Linked DNA regions of Drosophila melanogaster. The protein of the gene in region 1 interacts with the protein of each later gene in a pairwise test. Each region holds a gene or a part of one and is shown in the gene's direction. Other genes may lie near its edges.

Region 1 (4,484 bases):
GCGCCAGTGGGTAGTAGTTGTCCTTCACATGCCCGCTTACCTTTACCTATGACATTAAGCGAAGCAAATTGAGTGACTGACTCGATTAAGGCACTTGGTCAGTGCATTTACTTACTGTACTACTTGATTACTAAGTGCACTCATAATGCATGCAATTTAAATCATAATTGAAATAATTATCGTAGAACGAGAAATAATATTTAAAGAGAATGGTAATAACTAAGAAAATTAAAAAAAAGTTACTTTATCTGATGAAGGATGAAAAAAAGAAAAAAAAATTTAAGTTCTTACTTATTGTTTATAATTATAATCATTACAATTATATTAAACAATAAATTATAATAATAATTATTAATATATTATTAATTATATGTTAATTCTAATTATAAATAAGTTAAAAATAAAAATGCAATTAGTGAAAGAAAGAGGTATAACAAGAGCTTAAAATTTTACCTTTCTCTTTTCAGATTTTATGCTTTGGTGCTCTTCTCTTAAAATTTGTGTTTTGGAGAGACTCGTTCTCATCTCTCGTTGAGCGACGCGAGCGAGAGAGGCAAACTATTTAAGCCACATCGCAAGGCAACTCGTGTTCAATCTTTGTTTTCGTAGCGCGGCGGTCGCATCGGAGTCGAGAACTCGAAGTGAAGGTGCACGAAGAATTCGATAAATACAATTAAATAGTTTTGAATATATTGCGGTGATTTTTGGATTTGCATACCGGTTTTCGAGAAGCGAATTCGTAAAAACATGTTATGTTTAAATATCGAGAAGTGTCCCAAAGTGCGAAACAAACCGATTTAACAACAAATGCCCAAAGCGAATCACAAACGTGAGAGAAACAATAAATATATAAAGTGAATTATTATAGCATAAAATGAATTATTCTCTTATCAGTGTGTACATTATATTTTCATAAAGCACAAATAAAATTCAGTGAAGACATTAACAAATTCAAGCTAAAAGTTAAACTGAAAGCTAAACACTTTTTTTTGTTGAAATTGCAATTTTTTTTATTATAAATGTTTGTACTGATAATTGCGCTTACAACAAAAACGAATACACAAATCAAAGCAAGTGTCTGTGTGATTGTAAAGAAGAATGTGCTAAGCAAATAAGGCAAATAACAACCATATAACTGTAACTGAAATCCCACACTGAGAAAATAATCAGCGAAGAATAATATTTTGACATCCGTCTCTTGAAATATAAGATCAAACTTTAGGTTAATACTCATTAGAAATATATCAATAAGCTATGAAATATCATTTAAATAAAAATGTAGTGATCTTATTTTCATTTTTCTTCGTGCTCTCATAAGACAAGTTGATTGATTTGCGCAAAGGGAATTCGAGACACTTAAGATATTACCAAGTTCAGTGAGCAACCGCCCTAATGTCAAGGTCTTTCGCTTGGGGATCGGGTTTTAACCTAATGGACTTGACCCCCATTTTCTGTGGCTGTACGAAATCCGCAGCTTAAGTTACCAGCAAAACATATTTACTCAATTAGAGCTGACACCTATTATGTCTCAAGTTGCAACACGTGGTGCAATAAGTAAAAAATATTTTATCAATTCTGTTTAATTTTCCTAATTTTTGATTTCTCTCTAATCGTGTCTAGTAACCCATAAAACTAACGACAATTCGCATAAACAAACATAATAAAGGAAACGTTAGTAAAACAACAGAGTGTAAAAAAGGTTTAGCAACCGCGAAAACGACTTACGAATTTTCACAACAACTTGATGTTTTGTAACGGAGTTTCAAGAAACTAGTAAAAACTTTATTGTGAATTCTTCTGCTGCTTCTTCTTTGCAAGTGTGGCAAAAATTTTGTTGCTCTGCGGATTTATCGAGAACATCAACCACTCACGGTAAGTTGTGCTAATTATTGCTTAAACTTATTTAGTTGGCTATTTTTATTGCAATTTCTTGAGCATGATTCACAAGGGGAATTCAAATCAGAGGCTGCCCTTTAATGAATCAGCTACTTGGTTGGCATGGCCTACATTCAGTTCTCTAAAAATCACTTCTGATATATAAATACGCAGAACTAAATGCAGCCACTGATTTGAAATATCAAATATATTGCAGGTCTTCGTTCTGCATAAGCTTGATGTTCTGAAGTATATTGTATACATCGTTTTTTTGACGTGCTTTTCAAGTGTTAATAAGTTGAGCTGCTTCTATATCATACTCATATGTATGTGTGCAAATGATATATCTGTCAGTTGTCCATCATTGGCTAAGATCAAATCCGAATCTAAGCCATTTCGAGTTGAACAAACCCAATCGCAACGCCGCCGAAAGCGAGAGGCACGGGTACGTGAACTCCATATTCCGACCACTCTGATCTAATGCCGCTGAAATCGCACAAGGTTGTACTTGTGTACGAGCGTATGTAGATAGATGGATGAATAGTATGTGGTCCAATACATTCCGATTTCGATTTCGGATTCGGTTTCGCTTTCGAAGTCGGCTTAAACTTGGCACCTGTTGCGGTCAGAGCAACACTCGACTACACTGTCGCACAAAGTTCGCATAGAATTGAATCGAGCTTGAAAATGTTTTGTGGTCGCAAGTGCTGTCTGTTCTGCCTGTTCATGAGCGCCTGGGGCTTCTTGATGCTGAATCTGCTGGGTATCTTCTTCTACGTCCAGTCACTGATGCTCCTGGAGTCCCTGCCCTTGCCCCACCACTTCCCCAGTCAGGAGGCCTTCAAGGAGCAGGCGGACGAGGCCTACCAGGACGTGTCCACACGGTGCTTTGTAGCCGCCGTTTTCTATCTGGGATTCGTCTTCATTGCGATAGTGGCCATTCGTCGGGATAACAAGAGAAGGAAGCGACTCTACAAGCGGGGTCCCGGTCACTTGCGATTCCGTCGTTGATTTGTATGATTGGTTATTGAATAAACAATTTATTTTCATGGTTCCAATTGCATTTCACCCACTCAGCGACGTCCACCCACTTGTTGGTTCGAAAGATCGAAAGAACCAGTTTGTTGACCGCATTCTGCGATTAGCCTTAACTTCTTTATCGCCAAGCCACTTTTCGATTTCAAGTCTGGCTGACTGTTGTCCACTCCGCATTATGCATTCGTCTCGGACCAACCGATTTTTGACAGCGCACGTGACACCTTCACCGAGGTGTGTTCTCTTTTGGGCATCATAAATTTCCGTGAAATTCTCTTTCCGAAACATGCTAATGGGAATGGGGTGTGGGTTCCCAGTTCTGGCTATTCCCCCCCCTTTCACCTCTATACCGTAGTCTAGTCTACACCGGGGTTATGTATCTTGTTCTTATCGACCGAGCTTTTGTGTCTTACACGAAAACCGTTGTGTAAATTATCGTACACGATTTTCTAGTTGTACGCTTGTGTATCTGGCTTGTTATCACCACCAACCAAGTGCAGTCTGCTGAAAACTGGTTCACTGCATTTACTCATTTTTTCGGGAACTCGGGTTAACTGATTTGGAGATCTGGCAATACCTGGGAAATATTCTAAATTTCCTCCATGGATGGTCTTCTATATAATTGTGCCACCCGAGAGACCGTACAATTTCTTATGCAGATGTAGAATCGTATTTTTTACGAATCTATGAAACACACTCGTAGAAAAGTGGTTCAATTCAGAAACATTTGATATTGACATCAAATTGAGATTTTTAAGTTTGTGACGCGAAAAAAATTTTATATTTTGCTAGGCAAACACTTGGCTAAGAAAATCAAAGGTCTCTTCCCACAGAGAAGGGAAGTGAAGAGCAAGTACCATGTCCCGATTTTTGATAGCTACCAAAGAGCGTCTCCAGAGGGGATGTGAGTGAAAGAATTATGTCCAGAAGTTTTTCGCTTCAAAGTAGAATAAAACCTTCCTGAATCCCCAGTGCGCTTTGGCCAGATGTTGATTCATAATACGGTTTCTCAGCGAATGGCCGCTAAGGCCACGCCTCCTGGGTCAGCTAAGGCGGTCAAGGCCACTCCACCGCCACCCCCGTCCACCAAGCCGCCACCCAAATGTCCTGGAGGCGACAAGAATATGAAGCGGAAGCCGGGCTACTTTGCCAGCGGTGGTCAGCACGCGGTGCTCAGTGATTGCCCAAAGCCGGAAGGCGACTTTATGAAAGCCTGGTCAGCCAAGAACAGCCGCTATAACCTTATCCTTGTCTCCGGTATCCTGGCAGCAGGGGGAACATTGGGCTTTGCCTTGTCGTCAGGTAGGATTAGCCACTTATATCGTATAGCAATTGCACCATTTAATCTCAGGTGTCCTCTGTCTAAATTGGACCATTCCCGAGTATCCCTACAACGAGGATGAGATGGAGGAATTTGAGATCGAAGAGGAGCGCCGACGGGAGGAGAAGGAAGCGCGTGAGGAGCGCCATCAGGACGCAGTGGAGGCCAGGGAGCTGGGCATACGTCGACGCCGTGCCAAAGAGGCCATGGAGAGGGAGGTGGATTTGATGCAACGCGACATGGATGGCGGCAT
Region 2 (6,627 bases), on another chromosome or scaffold:
CGTGACGATTCTTGGGGCAAATTAGCAATTAAACGCGCCATCTTTATCGGCAATCATTCATTTCGCATCTTCTGGCATTTTCACGACTCGTTTGCGGGCATCGCAGCTATTAATAAATATATATCTCCTGGCGTAAGTAGGGCATGCAAACGCCGCTCAGACCTGACACAAAAAAAAAAAATGGCCCAGAAGAAAATTGCTTTTCTGTTGATTTTTCACAGTCTCCGGTCGCGTGTTCACAGAAAAAATATTCGGCTGGTGTGTTCCATAGAACTGTAACGGTAATGAAATGCACTGCTAAAAATAAAGTCATCGTGCGCTATACGCCTTACGATATTATTGAGAACTTTCATGGAAATATAGATAAATAATAGTGGAATTTAAAATACACATTCAACATGGCATATTTTATTGCATATTTTCCAAGAAAATATCTCAAACAAAAAAAAAAAAAAAAAACCAAAAACTTTCCTTGTGGCATTGACTTTTGGCTCGATGCCCCAAACTTTTTATGACTACTGGGAACCGAGTAGAATTTGCGATGAGCTCATTAGAGTCGATTCTCCGGTCATGTTGTAAGCGCCTGATCGTCGTCCGATCTGTGTACCGACTTCATGGGATAATGCGTAGTTATAAAAAGACAGTTAACTATAATCAAGAGCCTTCATGTGAAGCGGGCGTGTAGGGCTGAGTGGGTGTGGTTCCAATGCGATTTAAGGTAATTGACTATAAGTACCCATGACGAACTTCTGGACAGTTCCCCAGTGGAAAAAAAAAACTGGATTTATTTCTTATCGCAAAACTTGCGATAACCAATTTGTATATGTTCATTCAGGGAGCGTGCCGATTTTTTAGTTTGCGAAATTGAGTTGTTATGTTTTCTGAGTCATTGTCGAGCGGGTTTTGGTAGCCGGGGATTAAATCTGCTGTATCATCTTGGTCCAGCGTTTATTTCTATTTGCTTTTAATTTCACAATCAAAACAGCAATAATAAAACCGTGCCTTATCTTACGGACATATCTCCCCAAGCGTCGTCTCGCTCTAATTTGGATTTTTCCTCTCTCTCTCGCTCTTTTCTTGCAGCTGGCGCCCGACGGTGGGAATTTCATCAGCTGTTGTTGTTGTTCATTTCACAGCAGCAGTCGGCCTAATAAAAATGCAATTTTTATGGTTAAGAAAATAGTGCGCGAACGCCGTTGTGTTGCACATTGGAAATTGTGCAGAAGCCAGAAGAAAATGTGTCTTGGAAAATGGAAAAGCACGAGCAGCAGTAGCACCAGCAGCAGCTATAACATTGAGCCAGTGATGTAATACAGAGCAAAAGTGAAGCGGCGGCAATTGGCATTGCAAAAAAGAAACAGATTATACAATTTGTGTTGCTGCCGCACTGAACTAGGACAACAGCAGCAACAACAGCAGCAGCAACAACAACCACTAGTGATAAAGACCGGCTGGCAACAGTGCAGCGGCCACTTGCAGCAACATAATTTCAAAGTCGGAGCGTGGGAATCGCAAATCACGGCAGTGGCAGCAACAACAGCAACTGCAGCAACACTCGAGCACTCGTGGCTCTCCGGATCGCTCATTTCGCTCGCCGTTCTCGCGCTGGCGTTTCTCCGTTTCGCTCGCACCCGCCTGTGGAGCAGTCGCGTATATTTGGAGGCGTTGGGGCGAACGCTCACGACAGTTGTGCTTGGAACGCTTCGGAGTGAAGATCGTGCTCGTCCGATCGGTGCGCGTGATAAATACACGGCGAACAAAATTGAGTCAAGAGTCAGACGGTCGCAAGACAATTGACAAGACACGAAAAATCATAATAAACACAAGTGGAAAAGCAACTGCTTGAGAGCAAAAAAGAAATTGTTTTTTACAAATCTCGCACGTAAATTAGCAAGCGTTCGCAAGAAACAAACCGCATACAATACTGAACACAAAAAAAAGGGTATTCAACAAAAAACCAAAAATATTTGGCTGCAAATGTGAAGAGACGAGAGACAGCGGATATACTACCGAGTGAAATTTGTGTCATAAGCAGAGCCAAAACAAAACCGAAAAGCCAAATTCAATAAAAGGCCATAAGTGACTGTGAAACTGTAAAGTGATGTGTGGTAATCGAAAAACAGCATAAAGAATGGCCATAGACCTCCTGATCCTGGCCCTGCTGCTCGTCTCGTTCCTGATCAACCTGCTGGCGCTGTGTGCCTTTTGGATAACGCCTGGCTTGAGGACCACCGCCAATCGCTTTACGATCAACCTGCTGGCCATCAATCTCATTGGTTGCTGCATCTTGGCCCCCACTTTGTTCCTGGGACTGCCGGGAAAGTCTGCGGAGGCATCCACTTCCAACGCCGAGACCCTGGAGTTCTTCTCGAAGCCGGGAAACCATCAGGTGATACTTCGTCGCAATGGCCAGCTGGTGGAACAGGACGGCGTGGTGGTGCGAAGGAACATCAGCGAAAACGGCGATACGGTGGAGACCTTCTTCAAGTGCAATGCCACCTACTGTCGCGAGTTGACCATCGATGAGCGCGGAGATGGTGGCTTTGTCATCACGGAAACCGAGACACACGAAGAGAATCTCTCGGCCTTTGAGAGCTTACCCACGGAGGCTCCCATTTTGCCGCCCGTCCAACTGAGATGTTGGTCCATAGACATGACTGCTGCGCTGGGAGCTCTGGCAGTACTGCTCGTGGTGGGGGACACCTGGTGTGCCGTTACGGATCCCCTGCGCTACCACAGTCGCATTTCGGGCGTGAAAACCTGGATCTTCATAGCACTCACCTGGGTGGTGGGCATACTCTTTGGAGCCCTTTCCGCCTTCCGAGTTTTGGACTTTGAGGCGGACGCCCTGTTCAGCAGACAACGCCGCCTGGCAGTCACGTACTTCAACATCAGCAGCACCAATAGTATTTTCGGAGTGGTGTACGCCAGTGTCTACTTCATCGTGATCATCCTCCTGCCCTTCGGCTTCGTGTGCGGAATGTACTGGAGGATATTCAGTGAGGCGCGCGGAAATGGGCTGCGCATGCGCCAGAATGGCTCTTCGCCGCTGCTGCAGAGCGCCTTGAATCTGACGGCTGGCCAGCAGGCGGCTCAAGCCAACCAGTTCTCCAATAGCTTGTGTGTTCATCGGCATTCCATATCCTCGGCCAGTTCGCATGGCGGCAACAGCAGCTTGGGCTTGGGCGGTCTGCAAATGCAAATTGATCAGCGCCAACAGCCGAGGAGTTCGCCCAGTTGTCTCCGTCGGGACTCGGCCGCGAAAGTACTTTTGCCCACCATCTCGGATGATGGTGGCTCAGATGCGGAAAGTGGAGCCGGAGTTCAACTGATGCCCGTACAGGAGCACTCACTGTCAGATAGAAATCAGAACATTATGCTTACTCTGCAAACAGCCAGTGGTGAAATAAAGAGGAACTACTCCGCCAGACAGCTGCCCCTGTTGGGCACTTCTTCGCAGGATCTGAGGGAGACTAATCGTCTGCAGGGCATACGCCAGGTGCACAGTTCGCCCAATCTCCACAAGTACACGGAACTGCGCCAGGACTCGCTCAGTGAGGAGTGTGGTTCTCCGCATCTTTTGGGTCACGCCCAGCGGCAGCAGCAGCAGCAATTGCACCTGCAACATCAGCAGCAACAGCATCATCACCACCAGCAACATCATCCGCACTTCAGTTCGCCGCGCCACCAGCAACACGGCCACGCCCTCCAGATACCCGCCATTCATGCCTCCCCCAAGGCTCTGAGTTACATGAGCTCCTTGCGACACCGTTTGAGCAACGCCAGTTCGCTATTCAAATACCGTGAGGAGTCGAGAGCAGCCCGCATCAGCATCCTGGTGGTGGTGATGTTTGTGGTCTCGTACCTGCCCTTCGGACTGCTGGTACTCCTGCAATCGCGACTGTCGGCTGCTAACTTTGGCGGATCCTCCCAGCTGGCCATCTTCATGATCCTGCTGGCCAATCTCAGTTCGCCATTCATCTTCGCCTACAGGAACAAGAGGGTGAGGCGAGGAGTCAAGCGGCTGTTTGGTCTGGATTCGTCGTCGGGCCTGCAGCGCAACTGCAGCAGCAGTGTAAAGACCAATGGCACCGCAGGTCCTGCTGCAAGTGGTGCACAATTGCAGCGCAACAGCAGCAAGTTGTCGCAGTACAGCAGCAACAGCTGCAAGTATCTCACCCCCCAGAGTTCCCTGGTCAGTCAAGTGCCGGTGCATACGACCTTGACGTTAAGGCCCAACAGCAGCTGCAGCACCATCATCAATTTCGGTGGCGCCAGGGGCTCAGCGGACTCCGATGAGCAGCCACCGGCAACACCACCACCTACTGTGGCAGTTGCTCCACCGCCCACACGACCGCAGCGCCCCAAGCTGCAGAGGGGCATCACCATCGTTGAGCACATAGCTATAACACCAACCATGCCCCAAAAGTTCCAGAATCGGCGCGCCAGGCTCTTCGACATGTTCTTCCGCAGCTCCAAGAAACTGCAGGCGGGCTGCCAGAGCCAGAGTTTGCCCACTGAGGTCTAAACGGGGGGTTATGATAACTATACATATAGGAAGGTAAACAAACACTAAACTTGCTTGCTGAAGAATTCTAAGAACAGTATTCGTAATTTGTAAGTCTAGCAATTAACAAAGACAACTGTTTGAATTTGAGTTTTAAGACCAGATCATGCTGTCCTAGAAGCTTCTCATGCCAAAAAACAAAACCACAAAGAAAGTCAAACTAGAAAGTTTGAGATGCTTTAAATTAACAAAAAAAGAAAAGAAAAAAACAAAAAACAAAACAAAGTACCTTTTAAAAAATAGAAAACTGTGTACAAGTCAAATTAACAAAGATTGAGAGTGATGGGAGTTATAATCTTAGGGTGGATATCAAACTGAAAAGTGGAACCAAGCCAAGCCAAGTTGAGATCGTAATCAATGTACCTAAGCAACTTGCATATGAACATTTAATGTTTTTACTCAGATGAAATCACAGGAAAATAGCAAAGACAGCACAGCTTATTCGAACTTCCCCAACTAGTTTATTATTTATTGAAACAATTGTAAATATTTATTAGACATCCACGCCGCAAAGCTTTAACTCCAAAAACATTCTGGCTAAACAAGAAGAGACGCATACATTCGATTCATAAGTTAATTAAGTCAATGTGCAAAGCATATGTGTATTCTAGAGTTTAAGTTGTAGAGCCGAGTAGTCTTACACCGAGCACCTAGTGCCGAGCAGTGCTTTTTCACCTGCCCAACTGGAGCGTCTGTTGCAGGCGGCATTTTCATATTGAAAATGCATTTTGGCCAGTGCACAGTTGGTTTTCCAGTTGGCCAGAATGTCAGTCAGCAGTTAGTTAGCCTTTGGTTAGCCAACGGCTATTGGGCCATTAAGTCAATTTGCTTTTTAGAACACCGCGGGCATTGCGTGCAGCTAAATACCTCATTAGTTATAATTTGAAGTGCGAGATGGATGGCGGCAATAGGTCAAAGGTCGGAGCCATCGGCACGGCCCATGCATAATGCATGGAAAATGTTCGATTGCCCCTGGCATTTGTATCATTTGCTTTACTATGCTGCAGGCCAGAAAGCTTTATACCTTAAGTTCTCCTGCTTTGATTTCCCTTGGCTGCACAAAAAGGCAACAAAAGCAACACACACTCACACAACACAAAAAAACCTCGAATTTATATTTCTAAAGTTTATATTTTATAAAGAGTGTGTGCATAGGAAATATCTATAAATATTCATGCATGTGTGTCGGACAAAGGAAATATTTCAAAACCAATTATTGTGATGTTGAGCAAGGGGGCAACCAAGAATGTAATTTCGAAATGCATTAAAAATAACTTAAAACATGTATTAATAGTTATAATATATACAAGCTTATGTGTGTATACATACTTTACTAAATAGTGATATTTTTTCAAATTTATTCAACTGTCATTCGCTAAACCATTCGATGTAAGCGCAAAAAGCAAATGTAAAACCAAACCAAGTTCAATGTGACAAATTAGCTTTTAATCCGAAAAGAAAAGCAACTATTGGTGGTTGATGCAAGTCAAATCCGGTATATTCCAGCCAAGCTGCTAATAAATTCGAAAACGAAAACACAACCAAACCATACCAAACCACAAAAAGAGCAAGAAACTATTCAAATAAAAGATTATGTGTCTTAAAAGAATTAATTATCTTGACTTTTTCACTGGGGGCAGTTCAATTGGGGGATTGAAGGCGATTCTAACATACCCACGCTGATCTCCACATCTGCAGCTCCAGAGGTTGGTCCAAAAAGTTCTGGGCTCGCACTAATTAATAGAGACCCCAGCGATTCGAGTGAATTTATCGATCCAACCATCCAACCTGCTCTCAACTTTGCCGACAAGAGCTCTAGAACACGAACAAACACTTAACCAGACGGAGGGGCGCACGAGTTCAGCATTTCATTCAGTATTTCAGCACTCGTTTGCCCGCCACCCATACCCGTATTAATTGATTCATAAACCGAAAAGAAACAGCACGATATATATTAAACTCTTTATTATTTCAATTTTGTATGATTGTGACATACGCGTGTTTCATTTCAAAATTTAAACGAATTGTACACGTAGAGAAATATTATTGTTATTTTTATT

The links.
Region 2: the proteins of CG11269 (region 1) and CG12290 interact in a two-hybrid assay, tested with the Drosophila melanogaster proteins (one large-scale study listed by BioGRID).

Annotation. Positions count from the first base shown.
Region 1 is NT_033778.4:22,136,380-22,140,863, forward strand, and holds CG11269 (uncharacterized protein), read left to right. Parts: upstream 1-2,515; 5' UTR 2,516-2,562; coding exon 2,563-2,886; 3' UTR 2,887-2,916; downstream 2,917-4,484. Other genes in the region: gom (gomdanji), read left to right, coding at 3,769-3,814, 3,883-4,212, 4,262-4,484.
Region 2 is NT_033777.3:26,228,574-26,235,200, forward strand, and holds CG12290 (uncharacterized protein), read left to right. Parts: upstream 1-1,674; 5' UTR 1,675-2,131; coding exon 2,132-4,528; 3' UTR 4,529-6,127; downstream 6,128-6,627.